Linked DNA regions of Tamandua tetradactyla. The protein of the gene in region 1 binds, or shares a complex with, the protein of each later gene. Links are inferred from orthologs where the notes say so. Each region holds a gene or a part of one and is shown on either strand. Other genes may lie near its edges.

Region 1 (7,060 bases):
TCTGGCTCTCTCACCAGGTGAGGTGGACATGGTGTGGAAGATTGTTGTACAAGTAAGGAAAAGCAATCTTGTATTCAGTGCGAATAGGCTGCCGGATGATGATCTTGTTAATATCATTGAATTCATTCCAATCTTCATCTCTAGGATACAAAAATCAAGGGTGAGCAGATTAATTCGGAAGTTACATTGGGATCGTAGGGACAAAAAGTAGATTTTAATCGACTCAAGGAACCTAAAATTCCTACTTTCTCCAACTTACTGTAGGTTGATGTCTCGAACAAGAGGTTCAAATTTGGGGCCTCCAGGAATGGCCATATTGAGTGCCTTGGAGGTAAAGAAGGCCTTGAGATCAAACAGATAGAAGTAGTTGTCATCTACCAAATCTGTCAGGAGCTGATTGGCCAGACGGTAGAGAGTGGACATCATGGGCAGTGTGAACTGCCAGCGCTGGTACGTGGAGCCATTCACATATCTAAGGGGAAAAAAAAGAGGAGCCCATGTCAGGAGTTATTCCAGCTAGTCAATCTATACCACATTTCCAGATACTCATCTGGGTTTCTAGAACTCCCACAGGAATCATAGCTCCAACCATCACTCACTTTCTGCTGTCCCTCAATGGCTGGTGGTCATAGAACCAGTCCAACACAGGGGCATCCTCCTCAGGGTCCAGCTCTAGCTGAATGGCTTCCAGTGGCTCAACATCTAGGATATTGTCAGCATAGTCCAAGGGTGGCTCCTCATCGTCAAAAGGGGGGAAACGCATCCTCTTGAAATGCCTCCTGTCTCTCTTTTCTCGACGCATCATAATCCACATTGACCTGGAAGGCAAGAATGTCACACAACGGTTCCTGCCCACTGACCCCAACTACCAACCCCATACACCATATCCCAGCCCTTCTTACCCCCACTGAGATATGTAGACAGGCTCAATGACCCAGGGAATCTCATTGACAAAGGAAATAGCTCCAGTGATGTGGTACAACACAGGGACATCCCGAATCTGCTCCCAAGGCATAGGCATGTTCTCTAAGAGCTTGAGGACTGCATGGGGCATGTACTTTAGGGCACTGCAGTATTAGGAAGAAAAGAGAAGGTAATCAGGCATGACAAGGAGTCCTATGTCCAAAAGTCACAGTATCACAGTAACACATTCTACAGAAAATCCTGCCTTAGAGGTATCCCATGACCAGGAACTGTCTCCCCCTCTGCAACTTCACCTCATGCTCCTCCTTCTCTTCAACTTCACAGTCTCACAACACTGGGTTATCAGTATCTCTAAATCATACCCTCTTGTCTAGCTTCCAGGCTGTCTCACATTCTCTGTACCCCAACCCCAAAAATGACAATATAATAGTCACCATAATTTATCATAACCATTTGTTTCACGTCTGTGGTGCCATTAGACCATGAGCTCATGAAGGCAGAGATCATTACTACCTTATTCACTGTTACGGCCCTATAATAGTTCTCAAAAAATTTCTTTGAAATAAACAGAACTTCCATGGCTGTCTTAGACCAGTTCATTAAGTGGCTAACATTTTTGTGTCCACATGAGACAGGGATTTGCTAAGGCCTTTGTATCTGTACTCACCCACCTTGGGGCCACAGAAACAAAAGAAATCAGAATCCTCACGGGTAAAAATATCCCGAAGCTCAGAATTCTGATCCAAGAGGAGTGTATTTACAGTGCAGGCAAAGTGAACAAAGTAACCCTTTCTGGGCTTTCACCCATTCAATCAGAAGGACATCTGAAGAAACGTGTTAGCAGCAATAGAACAAATGAAAGCTTCTGCACCAGATTAGGAAGAAAAATCAGATCAAAAAAGAACGTAACTGGAAGATTTGAAAATTATCACAGAATCCCAATCTGAAAATTCTGTAACCACAATGGGTTACCATTGTAGAGTCCCATTCCATAATGACAGAGTAGCTATCTATTCTATAGTACTATAACCTATGAGCAGGGAGAAAGGAAAGGAACCAAACGCCAACGAAATAATTCCAGGGTGTTCCTTACCCCAAGTAGACCCTTTTGTCATGCCGAAACTTCCTGTTGGTCATGTCTCCATGGTCCCGAATGATCTTCCTAACATGTTCTGGAGGCATGTCTTCCTTCTGAGCATCCACAAATCCAAACTTTCGCTTTTCTGCATAGCGCTTCGCCTGCAATTGCTGCCATTTTCGGGCTACAAAGGTACCTTCAGTTTAAAAGACTGCACACCTTAAACCTAATTATCCCACCTTTTGCTTTAGGGTAACCTCCTGCCAGGGCCAGCAAAGGACGGCAGGACACCCAGCAGGGAATCTAAGGGCTCTTGATCACTTCCCACACTTAAAACTTGTCACCTTACTGTTTTTTTTTTTTCATTGCACTTACCTGACATTATGCTACAGAGTTTAAACTTTTCATCTATTCCCTCACTACAATTTAAACCCTTTAAGGGCAGGACACTGTCTTTATGGCTATTGTATCCCTAGCGGTTGGATAAGCGCCTGCCAATAGTAGGCGCTTAGGAAAGACTCGATTCACTGAAAAATAAATAAATAAATGGTGCTAATAGGGGAGCTGGCAATAGAGGAGGCTGACCTGCCAAAATCTAAAGGCAAGCTAAAACCCGCTTCCGCGCACGCGCACACCCGTCACCACGTCTCGGGGCGCGCACGCGCAGGCCCCGCTCACGTTCCTCACCTTTCTCCTGCAGCTTCTCTTCTGACATATAATCTGGTAGCGGTGCTAGAGGGCCGGGCACTGGGTTACCCGGCCCTCGGTAAGGAAATACTCCGGCCATGCCGGGAGAATCTGGGGAGCGGCAGGAGAGAAAAATCAATCATCAGGGCCCAGGACCAAAACAAGAGAAGCCCGAACGCGCTCCTGAGGCCCCGCTACCCTCGTTGCAGTCTCTCCTGGGCCAACCCCCCCCGCCGCTCCGCCCGATGCCACCCCACGTCCCGCAGGCCACCACGCACCCCCACAGCCCCTCTCGCAGACCGCTCCTGTAGCTGCCGCCGCACAATGGCGGAAAATCTGCGTCCCCTCCGCGTTCCAAACGGGAAGTGCGCCACCGGGCTTTAGCAGTTAATCCAATAGGCGCCGATATCCTCGGATAGATTGGAGAGAGCACCAATTAAAGTTGCATAGCCTGCCGAGGGGGCGGGGCCATGCGCGGAAAGGTTTTGAACGCGAGGAGATGTAATCCGCCTAGGCGCAAGCCCCGCCCTGCATGCGTCGGAGGCCCTTGGCGGCTAGTGACCGACCGCGAAACGAGAGGACACTAAAGCGTGCAGAGCTGTAATGAATTTGTCAAAGTTGCACATTGTTGTACTATAGTGAGATAGCACCTCGCACCCATTAGAATGACTTCTATTAAAGAAAACGGAAAATGGCAACTGCAGGAAGGGCTGTGGAGCGACGGGAACGCTCTTTGTTGTCGGAATGTAAAATGGGGCAGCCAATGTGAAAACGGTTTGGCAATTCTTCAGAAACTTAAGTGTAGAATTACCATATATCCCAGCAATCCCACTTCTAGGTATATACCCAGAAGAATTCAAAGCAGGGACTCAAATAGAAATTTGCACACCGATGTTTGTAGCAGCATTAATCACAGTTGCCAAATGATTTTGGAAGCAACCCGAGTTGGTTAAACAAATGAATGGATAAATAAGATGTGATATAACGTGCAATGAAATGTTATTTAGTTTAAAAAGGAATGAAGTTAAGATGTTTGCTACCACATTGATAAACCTTGAAGACATCCTGTTAGGTGAAATAAGCCAGACATAAAAGGACAAATATTGCATAATCTCATTTATGTGAAATAAGCAGACTATTCATATCTGTAAGGTCAGAAACTAGAATATAGGTTACCAGAAAAGGGATTGGGGAGTTAAAATTTAATTGGTATGGAGTTTCTGTTTGGGGTGATGACAAAATTTTGGCAATGGATGTTGGGTATGGAGAAACAACTTTGAATGTGTTATTAACACTGCGTAATTATGTATTTGAAAAGGGATAAAAAGGGAATTTTGTATTTGAAAAGGGATGAAAATCCATAGAACTGTTCAATGCAAAGAGTGAACCCTAATGTAAACAGTGCGCTGAAGTTAACAACTTAATACTTATAATAATAGTTTCATCAGTTATAACAAAGGTACCACACTAATGCAAAATGTTAATAACAGGAAAAACTGAGTGTGTGGAGGGGGGGTATATGGAAACTGTATACTTTCTGCATGATATTCCTGTAAATCTCCAACTGTTCTAATTTTAAAAAAAAAACACTTTTTTTTAAATCTATTCTCTTAAAGTCAGACTTGAGATGCAGTACTAACTCCATCCAGGTCAAGCTATCCTTTGTTCTTACATTCTTTCATTTAACCATCAACCATTGAGTGTCACAAAGTCCCAAGTGTTGGGGATATAGCCAGGGAACCGACAGCCTCAAGCTCCCACAGAGTTCACAGGAGAGTAGGGAGAGCAAACTTGAAACCAGGTAATTTCTATGAGGTGTGATGGGAGCTCCAGGCAGGCTACTTCACCGTGCTACATACTCAAGGAGGAGTTAGTCAATTATGTTAGAACAAGAGGAGGCCATGGGAAACTCATTGCTGGGTATCTTTCCCCCCCCACTCAAGCTCCATCCTCATTTCTCTCTCTGGTAGTGATTTTCATTATAAGATGGGGTGAATAATGGACACCCTATAAAAGTTCCTTGAGTCCCTCAAGCTCTGCCTATGTCCTGCTACCTGAATTCCTCACCATCTCCTGCCTCTTGCTCTATCCTTTGCACTGTTTCTAATAACAACTTTAAATCTCAGTCAACAAACTAGTTTACGGTGGAGAATATGGAAGAAATGTAACCCTTTCTCAGTGTAGTTGGGAATTTAGGTCTGCAATAAAACAATTAGAGGAAAATGCGAGAGAGTTCAGGCAAGTGCTGGTTGGTGTGGAGTTTCATGTAATTCAGAGACAGGAGAGCAGAATATTAAAGGGGATTTGACTGAGTTGGTGGGATGCGAATGATTTAATAGGAGTAAAGAAAGGGGGAGGGAAAAGGAATGCCAGGTGATGGAAACTGTTAGAGTAAGAATTTAGAAAGAGGTACAAACTTGGTGTGTTCTGAGAACAATGAGGAGACCAACCTGACTGAGGTAGTGGCATCATCATTACCAAGTTTGTTATTGTTATTGCCATTACTATCATGTGATGACATTTATAACACCTGTATAAGCTTCACTATGTGGCATTGCTCTAAACAGTGGTTGAACTGTAAAATGGTCCAGCCAGTGTGGAAAACTGTTTAGGGAGTCTTCAGAAAGTTGAAGTATAGAACTACCACATACTCCAGCAATACCTCATCTAGGTATATACCAAAAAATCCTAGCACATTCTGCAGTTTCCTTAGTAGTGTTGTCTCGATGTCATCTTCTGGTTTTGATAGATGTACGATGATTGCATGAGAAGTTATTAAGCTGGGCGAAGGGAACAAGGGAATTTTTTTAAAAGCATTATTGAGATATAATGTGCAAACCTTAAAGTTCACCCATTTAAAGGGTAGCATTCAGTGGGTCTTTAGTACATTCAGAGTTGTGCAATCATCACCATTTTCTAGTTCCAGAATATTTTCATCATCCCCCAAAGAAGCCTTTTATCTTTTAGCACTGTCTCTCTTATTTCCTCCCCCGACTCCTAACCTGCAGCCCTAGGCAACCACTAATCTACTTTCTGCCTCTATAAATTTGTCTATTCTGGATTGTTCATATAACAGCATCATGCAACATGTGGTCTTTTGTGATTGGCTTCTTTCACTTAACATAATGCTTTTAAGGTTCATTCTTATGATAGCATGTATTAGTATTTCATTCCTTTTTATGACCAAATAATATTTCATTGTACAGATATACCACATTAACTTTGGATTGTTTCTGCTTTTTTATTGTTGTGAATACAATGTCCAAAATAATAATGTTGTTATGAACGTTTGTGTACAAGTTTTTGCATGGGCATATGTTTTCATTTCTCTTGGGGTTTGTTCTAGCTTGCTAGCTGCTGAAATGCAACACAACAGAGATGGCTTGGCTTTCAACAAGAGGGGATTTATTTAGCTGATGTATAGTTCTTCAGAGGAAAGTCAGCTAACTTTCAACTGAGGTTCTTTCTTACACGGCAAGGCACAGGGCAATCTCTGCTGGCCTTCTCTCCAGGCCTCTGGGTTCCAACAGCTTTCCCGGGGATGATTCCTTTCTGCATCTCCAAAGGCCTGGGCTGAGCTGCAAGTGCTGAGATGAGGTATGATAGACTGCTTGGGCTGTGCTACACTGAGCTCTCTCATTTAAGCACCAGCCAATTAAATCAAACATCATTCATTGCAGCAGGCACGCCTCCTAGCCGACTGCAGATGTAATCAGCAACAGAGGAGATTCACATGCCATTGGCTCATGTCCACAGCAGTAGAACTAGGCACCTTCACCTAGCCAAGTTGACACCTGAATCTAACTACCACAGGGTTCATACGTAGGAGTGGAATTGCTTGGTCATGTAGTTACTCCATGTTTAATCTTCGAGGAACTGCCAGACTGTTTTCCAAAGTGGCTATACAATTTTATATTTCTGCCAGTAAATTATTAGGATTCCAGTTTTTCCACTCTTTCACTGTGATGTTTAATTTCATGTGTCAATGTAACTGAATGATAGCGCCCAGTTTATATGGTCAAGCAATTACTGGTCTGATTTTTACTGTGAGGATATTTCATGGATTTATATCATTAGTCATCTATTGCATCTGTGGCTGGTTACATCTACAATTAGCAATGGAGATTGCTTTCAACAAGTAGAGGAATCTCCTCATCCAATCAGTAAAAGGCCTTAGTAAAGCGAGACCTGATTATTTCGGCAGTCACACCGAAGAATTTCTCTCTCTACTCCAGACAGCCAGCTTCTGAATAATTCATTACCTTCATTGAAGTTCCCAACTTGAGGCTTCTCACCTTCATTGATCTTCCAACTTGCAACGTGCCGTAAAGAATTCAGATGTCATGTGACCCAATTCCTATAATAAATCTC
Region 2 (7,143 bases), on another chromosome or scaffold:
CTGTGTGGGGCTGTACCCTTCATGGAACAGGAGCACTGTGGTAGGTGGGCACACCCTTGGGTGCGGGATGGGACCAGTGAATGTGATGGGAATGCCACTCCTGTGATTAAGTGATGTGATAAAGATGACGATATTTTGCAGACATAATTAAGGTCCCCAAATCCATTGACTGTTTTTTTTTGTATGCTATACAAAAAAAAAGAAAAATAATTTCATTCTTTTTCCATGTGAGTATCCCATTACTGTAGCACCATTTGTTGAATTTTTGTGTTTGTTTTGCTTGTTTGTTTGTTTTTTTGGGGGAAGTGCATGGATCAGGAATCGAACCCAAGTCTCCTGCACGGCAGGGGAGAATTCTACCACTGAGCTACCCTTGCACCCTCCAAAATCAGTTGACTTTTGAGTTAATCCAAAGGCGGATTAATTGGGGTGGGCCTGAACTAATCAGGTGAGCCCATAAAGGGAATGGACACTTTTTTTTTGATTAGAGAAATTGTAGGTTTACAGAAAAATCATGTACAAGATTCAGGGCCCCCATATATCGCCCTACTATTAATCCCTTCCATTAGTGTAGCGTATTGTTACACTTCATGAAAGACACTTTTATCTTGAAAGAATACTTTTATAATTGTACTAGTAACTATACTTGTTCTACGAGATTCTCCTGTTGGCCCTGAAGGAGCAAACAGCCAGGTGGTGGAGGGGCCACGTGGACTGGGAGCTCAGGGCACTAGACAGAAAACAGGGATCTCAGTCCAACAAATTCAAGGAACTGAATTCTGCCAACAACCAGTGAGCCTGGAAAAGGACCCTGTACCTGAGATGGCCGTGGTCCCACAGCAACACCTTGGATTGCAACCTTGTGGGAGACTCTGAGACAGAGGCCCCTGGACTCCTGACCTCCAGAAATGAAGACATCATAAATTTGTTGCTTAAGGTGCTACACTTGTGGTAATTTGGTACATAGCATAGAAAACTAAGGCAAATGTTTTGAAAAGCAAGAGTTGTATCTCATCCGTATATCCCAGTTCCAGCATAGTATAAATTGAGCCAACATTTATTTGGATTCAAATTCTATTCAAATTCTGCCAGGCACCTACTCTTTCAAGCGCTGTGTTTTCAACATCTCAGATGCTACCCAATTGCCTATACCTTGGGGAAGAAGGGATCAGGAGATCTGTCCTGTGAAATAAAGAAACTGAGGCTCAAAGTTTGCTGAATAAATGAAATGTGGTCAAAAGCTATGTCCCACACTACGCTCTGTCCTGTAACTATTTATTGAAGAGTGCTTTGAAAACTATTGCTTTTTTCTTTGCTTTGTATATATATTATACAAGAAAAAAAAGCTATGTGCTAGGTACCCTGCTAAACATGCCTTATGCCCTTTGATTATCACCACAACCTGATAAGGATTTGACAAATGAGGAAACTGAGGCTAAGAGAGGATAGTAACTTGTGCAAAGTCCCACAGCCAGCGCGTGGAAGAGCTGGGATTCTAACCTGTGCCATCTAATTGATGGGTTAGAACCAGAACCCAGAGTTAGACAGCAGAGCCACTGCCCACACAAGTTAGCAGAACTCGACTTGGTCCCTATCCTCAGGGCACTTACCATGTAGAATTTTTTAGATTCCAGTCAAAGAGTCAGCTGCAAGATTAAGCATCATATTAAGGAGCATAAACTCGCAAACTGTGATAGGCAACTACCAGGAACCTATAACCAAGGGCCTTGCCTGAGGATGGAGGTGGGCAGAGAAGGCTTCCCAGAGACAACAACCTTGATCTGGGAGAAAGAGAATGACTCTGGGAGTTATTCTGGTACAAACATTCCAGATAAAGAAAAAACACGTGCTTCACAGGTTGCACCCCCCCCCCCCCTTGCACGCCCCACCCCACAGGCCATTTTTTATCTTAAACAAAGAGGAGTCACCAGGGCAGGCCACCATGGCTCAGCGGCAAGAATGCTTGCCTGCCATGCCAGAGGACCCGGGTTCGATTCCCAGTGCCTGCCCATGTGAAAAAAAAAAAAAAAAAGAAAAAAAAGAAAGAGGAGTCAGCAGGGAGCAACTTGAGATTCAGTTTCTGTTTTTAACAGGTCCCTCTGCCCTCTGAGAGGAGACTGAAGGTGGGGCCCCATTCTCAAGCTGGGGCGAATTTGCCCCCCAGGGGAATTTGGCAATGCAGCGCAGTGATAGCTAGACTAGGTATTTGGTAGAAGTAAGACTCTGAATTTGAACAAATGTTAACTCAATCTACACCATGCGCCAGGATATATGAATGAGACACATCTTTTGCTTTTCAACACGTTTGTATTAGTTTTCAATGCTACATTAATTACCAACGACTTAAGACGTTTTTGGATGGGGGGTGGTAGTGCATGGCACTGGCATCGAATGGGTAGAGGCCAGGGATGCAAGTCAAAATCCTGAAGTGCCCAGGACCTATCAGGTCCCCAGGGTCAACTGCGGTGAGGCTGAGGAAGGGGGGGCATGAACATAGCCGGCAAACCAGTGAGGTGCTGGGGCGGCCCCCCCACCCCGGGGCGCCCCCCTCCCCCTGGCAGGAGATGGAAAGACAAGACCGCAAAGGAAGCGAGCTCGTGAATCCCGATCCTGGCCGCGCCGCTGTGACTTTGCGTTAAGTTTGTGCCTCAGTCTCCCCGTCTGCAAAATGGGCACAACAGTACCTACCTCCCGGTGTTAGGATTGAACGAGTTAGTCCATCTAAAGCGCTTAAAGCCGTGTCTGCTCATTGAACGAGCTGCCTAAGTGCAAGTTATGATAATTGATGTTACTATTTATTTTAAATTGTTCAAGGAGGGTGCTGGGTGGCGGGGTCCTCACCTTCGCGGCCTCCCTGAAACTTCACGCGGATCGTCTTGTCGATGTATTTGGACAGATCCAAAATGCTCTCCTTCTTCTTCTTCTCTTTGTCCTGTGTGGAAAGCAGACCTCGTGAGGCGGAGAGCGTGTCTCGGCCTCGCGCCGCCCGCCCCGGCACACCTCCGCGCGCTCACCGCCATCTTGCCGCCCCGCACCGCTCTGCGCAGGCGCGGCCTTCTGGCGCATGCGCGCCCCTGCGCCCCAGCGCCCCGGCGCCCCGGGAGTTGCCGGGAAACGTCGGCCGACGGCTGCGGCGGGGACCGGCTGACATGGCGGCGGCGGCGGCGGCGGCGCTGGCGCTGGCGCGGCTCGGGACCGCCTTTCTCCTTCTCGCGGCCCAGGTGAGGGCCACGCCGGGCCCGACAGTCCCGAAGGCTGCGGCTCCCCCCGTTCCGCGTCCCTCGGGCCCCTAGCAGAAACCCACCCGGCCCGGGCTTGGGACCAGCCTCGGGGACCCGCGACCCCGCGCTGGCGGCCCTCGGGGTCTGGGGACCGGCCGTGACCTTGCGGGCTGTTCTCTGGCCTGTACTCCTTCCCCGTCGAGGAAATCCTTCCCAGTTACAGCGTCACTCCGTCCCAGCCGGGGTTGTAGTTTGCGGGACCCCGTCCCTCCCTTCTGTACGGTTCCGCTTGTCGGTCTCGGAGTCACCGTCCGCCCCTCCCCGGCTGCGTGGCCTGGGGCAGGTGGCTGCCCCTGTCCAAGCCTCAGTTTTCCCGTATGCAAAAACGGGCATGATGCTAGCACTCCTCCCAGGGATTGTGGTCAAGGCAGGGCAGGACCGTAGGCCTGGCAGCGTCGGGGAGCGAATCCCCGCTCCCTTTTACTCTCTGACCTTGGACAAGGGAGTTCCCTCTTGGGGGTCAGTTGCTTGTCTGTAAAAGGGGGGATGAGAGGAGAGTTTTGTGGGTTCATTCCTATGCTACAAGGAGTGACCAGCCTGCTGGGCTCAGTATGTTGTTATTTAGCGTTAAGGGGCTCTGGTTCTAAAGGATAGAGTGGACAAGGAGGTAGCTGATGTGTATTGTCATAAACTCATCTTTCCAAACTCTCCCTTCCTCCCAAGCGCTGCAGCCCAGGCAAAAGTGCCCCTAAGAGCTCTCCAGATGCGCTGGTGGGCAGTTAACCTTGACTCCTCTCTTGCAATTCTAACTTAAAAGGTCTTTCGAATCTCTCTGCTCCTCTCAGTCTGCTTCTCTCTGCTGTAGTTCCTGTCAGATCTCCCTTTGGCCACTGTTGACTTCCCCCAGCAATCCCCTACCAAGCCATTTGCAACACAGCAGGAGCAATCTTTTCCAAATGTGTGTCAGCTCTGGTCACTTCCAGATGAGAGCTTCCAGCGGCTTCCTGTCTCATTGAGAAAGGCCTTTCTTTGTGATCCGGCTGCTCTGGGAACTTCCCTCCCTTTTCAGCTCTCCCTAATGGGGAGGCATTTATGGAGGACAGCTTGAGCTCTAGTCGCTTTTATAGCCCTCAAATACCCCTCCTCCACTTCTGGCCCTGCAAGTCCTGCAGTCTCACAAGTGCAGAGATACCTCTTCCCCAGCTGCTTCAGGCCCTCCCCTTCTTCCCCCATTGTAGCCTGATCACACTCTGTTTTCTGGCCTTCCTCACCAGTTCGTGAGCAATTTGAATAGGGGAATTTGAGCTCTGAAGATCTTCCCAATGAGAGAAAAGCAGGAAATGGGCAATGCATTATGGGAATGCCATGGAGGGGATGACCCGGAAAGGCTTTTCAGAAGCAGTGACCCCCTAGGAGTGTTTTGAAGGATGCGTAGGAGTTTGCCAGGTTGGGAAGGGAGAGGCTGTTGTAGGCAGTGGGAACAGTGGGTGAGAAGGCTGATGACTTATTTTAGGGACTGGTGAGGGGGCTTGCTATGTTTGGTGCATAGGGTGGTATAGGTATGAGGGGAGCTCACCTACCCCCCCTGGAGGAGGTGTCGCTGTGAAGGAGGCACAGATGGACCTGGAATGGAGGAAGGGAATGGGGTCCCCCAGCAAAGCTGCAGGCAGAAGGCACAAGGCAGGGCTGGAGTTCAGGGCATGGGCCAGACAGGTTAGAACCAGATTCTGAGGGCTCTTGTTGCTGAGGTGTTCATGCTTTGCCCTGAGCATGGGGAGCCCAGGAATGCTCCTGAGGAGTGCCAGGGGGACGTGGCCCTACCCTCCCAATAGCCTAGTTGCAACAGGCATACCAGGGAGCCCATGCTGACTGCGGCTCTGGGGCTCTGCCCACTTGGCTTCTGAGTCAGGGCAGTGGAAGCGGGGGTGTTTGAGTCCTGACTCCCAAGACTGGCTGTCTTGGAGATTGCTTGATGATGATCCCACATTCACTTGCCACCATTTGGTAACCCTGGACAAGTGAGTCGGCCTCTCCAGATTATATCCCCCTTCTCAGTAACAACAAAGCCTGTGAGAGGAGATGCAGAGGCCTGCGGGGCTGGTTACTCAGGCCTGAGTTGATCAGAGATCCCCTCTGCAGCCCCCACAAGCTCCCTTTACCACCCCTCTGTAGCCCCCTCACCCCACATGGACCCTCCACAGCCCCTCCTGCCCCTACCTCCCCCCTCCAGTGTCCCCCTTCACCCTGCCACCATGACATCTTTTTCCAAAGTTCCTGCATCCTTGTTTTTCACCCTTTCCTGAAATATCTCTTAGAAGGAGTCCGCCCCATAGCCCTGATGCATCAGTTTTTTTTAAAACTCTCCTGAGGCTTATGTGTCCATGGAGCCGCTACAGAGCCCCTGAGTGTGTGTTAGCTGTGAGGTGTTGGAAGGCTGTCTGTCTCGGTTCTCCCAATTCAGAATGATTGTACGAGAACTCAGAATCTGCATCCTTTTGAAGAACCTTCCCTGGTTCTTTTAGCTCAGCAGGTGAGAAAAACTATTCAAGGCAAGAGCTTGCCTTCTCTGAGGTTTGATAAAATCACAGTTTTTTTTTTTTTGAAGGCAGTTCTTCAAATTTTGGGAAGGAGAACCTGTGAAAGCTGTTTTGTATTCTTAAGTCACCTTTTTCGAAGGAACAGTTTCTATCAATTTTCATTTTACACAATGAAAGCTTTTCCTCTAAAAGCCCGTATCCCACAAAATGGGCGTCAGCAGCTGTGTCTTGCGAAGCGCTCAGCAGTGGATACTTTGGGTGCCATACGTCTGCATGTGCCCTGTTACAGCCGCTGGACTCTGCTTTTGCATTCAGAAGCAGTGAGAGGGCGTGGCTGTGTGCCTGTAAAACTTTTATTTACAGAAGCAGGGGGCTCTGCATTTGGCCTGTGGGGTGTTGGTTTCTGACCTCTGCCGAGGAGCAGACTTGCTGACAGCAAGGCCCTGTCTGTGGCCGTGACCTACTTGAGTGGGCATCTGGCCAGCACAGACTCCGGGCCCCCTGCTGTAGAGGGGTGGCCTCTGGGGCGAGTCTGGGAGGAAGGGGCTCCTAGTTCTGCCTCAGGGTCAAGAGGTACCCAGTGGTTTGCCAGTGGGAGAGGCTGGGGGAGTGGGAAGCCACCTTAGTGCAGCACCCCTGTCCACAACTTCAGGCCCTCCCTTCCCTCCTGAGGCTGCAGGGATGGTGGCCCCCTGCCCAGCTTCTTCAGGGCAGGGCACCTTCAAAACTCAACTTCTCTGGGTGTGCCCCTGACCAGCACAGTGAGGATGGGCCTGATTCTCATTTGATGGCTGGCACCAGGGGTCCGGCTCCTGCCTGAGATGACAGAGAAGGCACTGCGCCTGAGCTGGTGTCTGGGGTCCCTGTAGCCCCTCGCTTGGGGCACATGGTCAGCAGGCTGCTGGGGAGGGGCCAGGCTTGGGCCTGGGGCTCATGTGTGTGGTCTTGTGGGGCTTTTCCTCTAAAAGCCCATATCCCACAAAACGGGGGTTGGCAGGCATGACAGGAGGAGCTCCCGATGTGATTTTACTGAGTCCCGGAGCCAGGGGCCCATGTGCATCAAGACCCCTGGTCTGATCCGAACCCCTCCCCAGGCCCGCTTTGCCATGTCCCTTGAAGGCCCAGCCCTCCTTAACCTCCAGGAGCCTCCTGTCTGTGTTCCTATCCCTTGTATGTACCTCAGGTGGGCAGTTGCTGGCTGTTTGTACCTGGGCAGGTGCTCAGGGGGACCCAGAGGACCTTCCTCATTGCTGGCCCTTTGGGGCCCAGCCAGGCTCTACCTGGGGATTCTTCAGGGCAGGCACTAGGAGACAGCCAGGGCTGGGGAGGGCCACCTTGGGGGATCCCCGCAGTGTCTAGCATAAGGCTTCTCTCCTGGGATCCCT
Region 3 (7,131 bases), on another chromosome or scaffold:
TTCTATGTCCCGGGGTGCTTTGCTCCTTGGAATGCGGGAGCCTGAGGCCCGGCATTGGGGTGTCCAGCTCTGCAGCGGCGTCCCCTGGCAGCAGCTGGCAGAGAGGCTGGCAAAGGGCTAGGCTCGGATGCAGGCTGAGCGGGGCTGGTCTGGTCAGGTGGGCACAGGGCAGGGGAGGGCAGTCAGTGCTTCTAGAGCCTCGGCTTCTCGGGGAGACCAAGGGACCAGAGGCTTACTTCGCCCACCATGTAAATTTTCTGTGGCCGACTATCTGACTTAACCCGCCAGGTCTATTTACTTGGACAACCTAAGTCAGCTTTATGTGGCTCGGAAGCTAGAAAGGGAAATGAATCTCAGCGTTCTGTCCAGGCTGATGTGCTATCCCGTTGAATCACAGAGTGTTTGCAGCATAAAATGAAAAGGGGCTTGCAATCCCCTTGAGGAACCGGGAAAGCACGGGACTCTGAATCTTCCCCACCTGGGGAATTCCTGCTGGCCTCTCAAGCAGCGGCACCGCCAGGTGTAGCAAGCCGAGCCCTCAATCCTGAGGCTCGCCCTTAGGAAACCGACTTCTGTAATGGCAAAGCTGAGCCTACTTAAAATTAGGCCTTAGGGTCACCCCCACTGAGCCTCCTTCATTGCTCAGATGTGGCCTCTGTCGCTAACTCTGCCAATAAACTCACAGCCTCTCCCTACATGGGACACAACTCCCAGGGGTGGAAGATTCCCTCGCAACGCGGGACAGAATCCCCATGGGTAACCCCCCTGACACCATGAGATGAGCAACAGATCCGGGGTCAAAAGGGGGAAAATAAATAAAATCAACTTTCAATCGCTAAGAGATTTCAGATTGAGCCGGGAGGTGCTGGGGGTCAGTCTCAAACAGGCTGCAGCCAGATTCTGCCCAGTGTTCCCCAAAACCCTATGGAGCACCCCAGTCCTATCTGAAATCTCTGTAGTTATTTCCCCAACGTGAGATAGGTGCAAACCATCTGATCACAATCCTTCTACTCCTTTTATTTAAACCTTTACTTTTTACTTATCAAGTTTACTTTCCTGTGACTTAAAGCCTCTGCATTGTTCCTATACTAGTTAAGTCCTGGAACCCAGTGGCACCAGTCTCTCCAGAACAACCAGTCTCACCCCCCTACCCCATAACACAGGTGCCCCTTTCCAGCATCAAGAAGTTAGAATTGATTTGGTACAAAATTCATATTTTGACTAGTGCATCTCCTAATGTAACTTATGTTGATAGCTTGATTGAACACCATAAGTACTTGGAATCTTGGGTAGGACATGAGATTTTGTCGGTTTGTCCAGGTGATGCCCCAATAAATCCCAGAGTGATTCGATCAGTGAGTGGAAAAATATTTGCAAAGAATGGTGAGAATGGGGGAAAATTCAACTTCCCAAGTTGAATTCTTGATATCTCACAAGCAGTGTAGACAACCAAAGCTATAAACTGAGCCCCGAGTCTTGGGGGTTGTTCATATGAAAATTACCCCACAAAGGACACTAAGCCTACTTAAAATTAGGCCTAAGAGTCACCCCCAAGAGAGCCTCTTTTGTTGCTCACACGTGGCCTCTCTCTCCAGCCAACACAACAAGCAAGCTCACCACCCTCCCCCTCTCTACGTGGGACATGACTCCCAGGGGTGTGTACCTTCCTGGCAACGTGGAACAGAAATCCTAGAATGAGCTGAGACTCAGCATCAAGGGATTGAGAAAACCTTTTCTACCAAAAGGGGAAAGAGAGAAATGAGACAAAATAAAGTGTCAGTGGCTGAGAGATTCCAAACAGAGTTGAGAGGTTATCCTGGAGGTTATTCTTACGCATTAAGTAGATATCACCTTGTTATTCAAGATGTAATGGAGAGGCTGGAGGGAACTGCCTGAAAACGTACAGCTGTTTGTCCCAGTACCCATGTTTCTTGAGGATGATTGAATAATGATATAGCTTTCACAATGTGACTGTGTGATTGTGAAAACCTTGTGTCTGATGCTCCTTTCATCTACCCTGTCAACAGACGAGTAGAACATATGGAATATAAACAAATAATAGGGGGAACAAATGTTAAAATAAAAAAATTAAAAAATATTAAAAATAAATTAAAAAAACAGAAAAAAAAAAAAGTTAGAATCGTCTTTGTCCAGCTATCCCGCAAGACTGAGGAAATGGAGAAGCAAGAGGAAGGAGATACAACCTAGAATTTAAAAATGAGTAAATGATTCCTGAATCATTATATTGATGCTTTTTTCCTTCTATGGTGTAGAATGACCAAAAGTTAATACCTGAAATTGCTGGAAGTGACTGAACTCGTTCCAGCCTTTGTGTGCCCTTACTATTGTGATTGTTTTGGCCTTGACCCAGCCATTGTTCATACTCGCTGCTGTGAAGATAACTGTTCTGTACCCCAGAAAAGACACACACTGCTTTAATGCATTCTTGTGGAGCAGACCTACAGTGGTGTGACCTTTCGGTCACGCTACTTTAATTCAGACGTGGCCCAAGCCCATTTCCGAAGGGTCTCCATCCTTTACTGGAGTCCTTTAAGAGCGCTCAGGGGGGCGATTTCAGAAAGAACCCCCCCCCCCAGGAGAAACTAAGAGAGAAACGCCCAGAGACATTTTGGAGATGGACCAGCAGACTGATCACGTGCCTTCCCACATGAAAGAAGAATTCCCCACGCCAGCAGCCTTTTCTCGGAGAAGGGATCTTTCTCTTTCTCTCTTTTTTTTAATGGGCAGGCACCGGGAATCGAACCCGGATCCTCTGGCATGACAGGCGAGCAGTCTGCCTGCTGAGCCACGGTGGCCCTGGGGATCTTTCTCTTGAAGCCATTTTCACGGCCTTAGAACCATAAATTTGTAACCTAATAAATCCCGTCGCAAAAGCCAACCCATTTCTGGTATATCGCATTTCAGCAGCTTTAGCAAACCGAAACACACTCCATCTTTCATTATTTGAATCCATAAAATATCCAACTCCTTAGACCCGGGGAGATAGACTTCCTGATCTACTTCACGCTTAGCAACACATTCTCTCTTTCACGGTGAAGGAGTTGGCCATTGGGTGCATCGGGCAGAGACCCCCCTGCTTTTCTTTAGTAACAGGTGCTGCGGGTTGAGCTGTGGCCCCAAGATGCACCTACCTCCTGGCTCGGGTACCTGCGCGTGTGCCTGATTTAGGAATGGGGCCTTTGCAGATGTCACTAAGCTAAGGGTTGCCAGGAGTCACCCTGGATTAGCGTGCGCCCTAAACCCCAGGACAGTTGTCCTTACAAGAGAGGAAAGGGAGAAGGCCACGTGAAGTGGGGCAGCCAGGACATGGGGGATGGCCGGCGGCCCCCGGGGGCTGGGAGAGGGGCGTGGAGCAGGCCTGCTCCCTCCCGCCTCCGGGCTCCCCAGCTGTGAGACCAACTGCGATGAAAGTCCCCAAGTGTGCGGGAATCCGTCCTGCAGCCCTGGGCCTGAATCCACCCGCCTGCTCCCCGGGCTCCCCGGGCTCCCGGGACTGGTTCCTAGGAGGGGGGGTTGCCAGGTTTGAGCATTTCCGCGTCTCCACGAGCAGGGGCGGAGCAGGTGCTCGGGGGTGACGGGTTGCACGCCCACGGGCAGAGCGCTTTCCCGGCCCGGCAATCCGTCCTCCCCGCGCCCCGTAGAGTGGCTACTATTATCCCTATCTCACAGGCGGTACACTGAGGCTCGGAGGGGCGCCGTCGGGATTCCAACCAGCGCAAGGCCCTCATTAAGTAACAACCACAATGGGGGCCATCAGGCCCGCTCCTGTCCCCCCCGGGCCGGGGCCGCAGCCGCCCAGCCGCCCGCCGCCGGCAGTGACAACCGCTGCCCACCACGTGGAGCTCGGGAGCCCGCGTGAGCGTCGCACGGCGCATGCGTCACTAACCACAAGGCCTCCTGCGCCGCCGCGCGCTGCCCCGCCCCCCTTTGCAGCCCTCGCCGCCGCGCTTTTCGGCCGCAGCCTTTTCTCCTCAGACGGGAAGTCGCCCCCGCCCCGCCCTCGTGCCCAGAAGCCGCCGCTCTGCCCGAGGATTGGTTACCCGGGCCCAGGGCCCTGTGTTGATTGGCTCGCGCCGCCGCCACTCCTCTTCGGCCTGGTGGCGCGCGGCGGAACGGCAGCCGGCGGGAGCGCGAGCGGCGACGGAAGTGGCTGGCTGGCCGGGTCCCCGCTGGCACCATGGTGAGGGCAGGCCGGCGGCGGGGCCTCGCCGGGAAGTGGGGTCGCGACGACCGGGGCCGCGGGGATCCGGGGGCGCGCATGCCTCGGGGCCCGAGCCCCGCCCCCGGCGCAGGCGGGGAAACTGAGGCCGGCCGCGCGCCGGGAGCGCGGGCCGGGCAGAGCACCCCCGCTCAGCCGTGCGGCGCATTCCAGGCTCCGCCGCGGCCCGTCCCGCACCGTCCTGGGCCGGGGAACAGGGCCCGAGGCCAGGCTTCCGCTCCGCCTGTCCCGGCGCACCGGGGAAGAAGGGAGGCCGCGCAGGGCTCGTGGCGCGCTCTCCGTCCGGCCCGAGGTCCGGTGTACAACCAGCGCCGCGCTGGGGAGACCTGCGCCGCATCCCGCTGGCCGGCAGGACCCGGAGGAGGGGTCCGCGAGGCCTCAGCCCCGTGGGGCCGCCCTTCGTTCCCATCTGTAGTGTCTCCTTGGAGCCTGTGCGAAGCGTGGGTGTTCAGGGCTATCTCCTGGAAATGGGCCGCCGGGGTCCTCGACTCCTGGCCCTACGGGAGGTTCCGTGCTCCCAGAGCAGACCCATAGAGACGCTCCCCTCATACGGGGCTGGGCCCCGGGGGAGCCCGAGAAGGGAATCACGGCCCCCTGTGGGGGTCCCGGAAGGCTTCCTGGGTGAGAGGCCACTCGGACCAGCCCTCCGTGGCTTTATGCCTGAGGTCTGCATGGCAGTCATAACGGGAGGGCCAGAGTGGCCCTTTCTCCTCCTGGTGGCATCTGGTGCATCTTCCTCTCCCTGGGGTGTCACGCCCCTGAGGACCAGTCTCTCACCCCTGCCTTCTCTCCAGCAGTTTGGGGCTGAGAATGTGGAAGGCTGGCAGAGGGCTCTGTCGTGGCCTGGACCGGCTTTGACCGGGGCACCTCCCAGTCCTGACGCCGCCTCATCTGTGAGGCAGGGACAGGCCCTGGGTATGGACCAAGTCCACACTCCCTTAAAATTTTCCAGGCCAGCAGGGGACTCGCCAGGGAGTTATAATAAATAAACAGAAGAAGAGACTGGCTGAGTCCTGTCCTGGAAACAGGCCCGGGGCAGGGGCGGTATCAGGACGCCCAGGGAGGTATGGGGGCAAAGGTCGCCAGGCAGAGTGGGCATGGTGTGCAGACAGGAGCAGGTCAGGGCAAGTGTTTTCTGCTAGATGAGCAGAAGCCTCTGGGGGGGCCGTGGCAGATGTCTCAGGCACTGCTTTGTGGGGAGGGGCTGCAGGGTCCTCCAGGGCCGTCCTGACCCTGGGTGCAGAGGTTGTGTCCACCGTATGAGGATGTCCATGGTCACCGTCGGGTGCTCCCAGGGTCACATGCAAACCGGGGTCTGCACCGGACACCCAGGCCTTTCCCCAGACTGGGTCCAACAGGCTTGAGCAAGCCCCCGCTTCAGGAGGTCATGACCCACCTGTTGTACAGCCCACACAAACCAGCCTGAGGCCCCTTTTCCCTCGGGGACTCCCCCAAGCCACCCAGAGGCGTTCTGGGCGTGGCCCCACACCATGCAGCCGTCCTTTCCCCTTATCTTGCCCTTCCAGGAAACCGGGTGAGGAAGTGGACGTGGGCCTGGCTTCCTGCTAGCACCAGGCCTTCCCTGGTGGTTCCTTGGGATAGCCGGGCAGTCCCACGTCTCCCCTCAGTAGAGGCCTGCGTGTCCCCCCACCTGGAAAAACAGGGTCCTGTGGACCCCAGAGTGTCCCTGGAGGGAGCTTCTCAGGAGGGGAGGCTAAGTCGGGTCACAGGGAAGTCTCCAGCCTCCCTGGGAGACAGTTCTCGTTTTCCTTGTGCACCAGCCGCCACACAGAGCCACAGTCTGCCCTCCGTGGTTGTTGTCTCGACAATGAAAAGAGCTGGCTTTAATTTTTTTCCCATCGTAAAAATCATATATGTAACTGTAAAAAAGATCTCTAATGATGGTAAAAGAAATTGAGTATCTTGAGTACTTAGTGGATCTGGATATGTCTCTAGAGAGCTCATCCTTTCTTTGTGGTGAATTTGCAATACCCACAGGCTTTTCTGGAATGTTCCCTCTCACCTGGTGAGTTCTCCTCTTTGCAAACCCAGCTCAGGTGTCACCAGCGGGGCCCGGCAGGGTTTTGGTCCAGTCCCGGCTGTCCTTTGGCGTGGCGTTTGGTGGCACTGGCTTCAGGCATGGGGTCAGCCGCAGCTTTGCTGCTCCCTGGCTCTAGCCCTGGGCCAGCTCCTGGGTCTTGTCCCCATGAGGCAGGTGCAGCGGGAGCTGCCGGGGTGTTGAGCAGATGGTGGCTCTGTGGGACGGACTGGCTCCTGGGGACCCCGTGGAACGCAGGTGGGGTGGGGATGAGGGTGGCGTAGGATCTGCCCCAGGTGCAGCCCCAGCAGCCCAAATCACGGCTTCTGCTTGCCTTTCAGCTCCCCCTGTCGCTGCTGAAGACGGCGCAGAACCACCCCATGGTGAGTGCGTGTTTGGGGGTTGGAGGTGACGCAGGCTCTGTGCGGGCCTGGATATGTGTGGACACAGGGGCCGCGGTTCTGCCGTGTCCAGATGGGCTCGTGGGGGGCATGTCGCCCAAGATGGCTTCTGTCCTCAGTGCTCGGTGGGGCACCTGTCCACGTCACACGACCTTTCCACTTGTGGGGTTCTCGTTGGTGTTTCATTCACAGTCCGTAAAGTCACAGCTGTTGAGGGGACGTTTCACTGTGAGCCGCTCGGGCCCCCTGCGTCTCCGTCTCCTTGGGTGACCAGTTCAGTGTAGTCCGCTCTTAGGGACCACAGCCTGTGGGGTGCAGACGCATGGGTTTCCCTGAACGGCTGTTTTCTGTTGCCGTGCGTACAGCCCTGCACTTCCCTTAAACCGTGCTCGCGTCCACGTCTCAGCGCTGTCAATTGCATTTGCGGTTGTGCTGCTGTCCCTTCCCTCCCC

Evidence for each region. Proteins that work in one complex are often made in the same cells at the same time.
Region 2: PRPF8 (region 1) and LSM7 share a complex: the UniProt entries of both Homo sapiens proteins name them as parts of the U4/U6-U5 tri-snRNP complex. The link is inferred for Tamandua tetradactyla from reciprocal best matches to the Homo sapiens genes PRPF8 and LSM7.
Region 3: PRPF8 (region 1) and LSM4 share a complex: the UniProt entries of both Homo sapiens proteins name them as parts of the U4/U6-U5 tri-snRNP complex. The link is inferred for Tamandua tetradactyla from reciprocal best matches to the Homo sapiens genes PRPF8 and LSM4.

The regions. Positions count from the first base shown.
Region 1 is NC_135332.1:55,445,948-55,453,007, forward strand, and holds the start of PRPF8 (pre-mRNA-processing-splicing factor 8), read right to left. Parts: upstream 3,078-7,060; 5' UTR 2,968-3,077; intron 2,801-2,967; 5' UTR 2,790-2,800; coding exon 2,690-2,789; intron 2,187-2,689; coding exon 2,018-2,186; intron 1,068-2,017; coding exon 903-1,067; intron 819-902; coding exon 600-818; intron 473-599; coding exon 260-472; intron 141-259; coding exon 15-140; intron 1-14. UniProt on the Homo sapiens protein: Plays a role in pre-mRNA splicing as core component of precatalytic, catalytic and postcatalytic spliceosomal complexes, both of the predominant U2-type spliceosome and the minor U12-type spliceosome.
Region 2 is NC_135337.1:80,543,100-80,550,242, reverse strand, and holds the start of LSM7 (U6 snRNA-associated Sm-like protein LSm7), read right to left. Parts: upstream 3,045-7,143; 5' UTR 3,021-3,044; coding exon 3,015-3,020; intron 2,933-3,014; coding exon 2,842-2,932; intron 1-2,841. Other genes in the region: SPPL2B (signal peptide peptidase-like 2B), read left to right, coding at 3,150-3,221. UniProt on the Homo sapiens protein: Plays a role in pre-mRNA splicing as component of the U4/U6-U5 tri-snRNP complex that is involved in spliceosome assembly, and as component of the precatalytic spliceosome (spliceosome B complex).
Region 3 is NC_135337.1:96,200,298-96,207,428, forward strand, and holds the start of LSM4 (U6 snRNA-associated Sm-like protein LSm4), read left to right. Parts: upstream 1-4,087; 5' UTR 4,088-4,198; coding exon 4,199-4,201; intron 4,202-6,619; coding exon 6,620-6,661; intron 6,662-7,131. UniProt on the Homo sapiens protein: Plays a role in pre-mRNA splicing as component of the U4/U6-U5 tri-snRNP complex that is involved in spliceosome assembly, and as component of the precatalytic spliceosome (spliceosome B complex).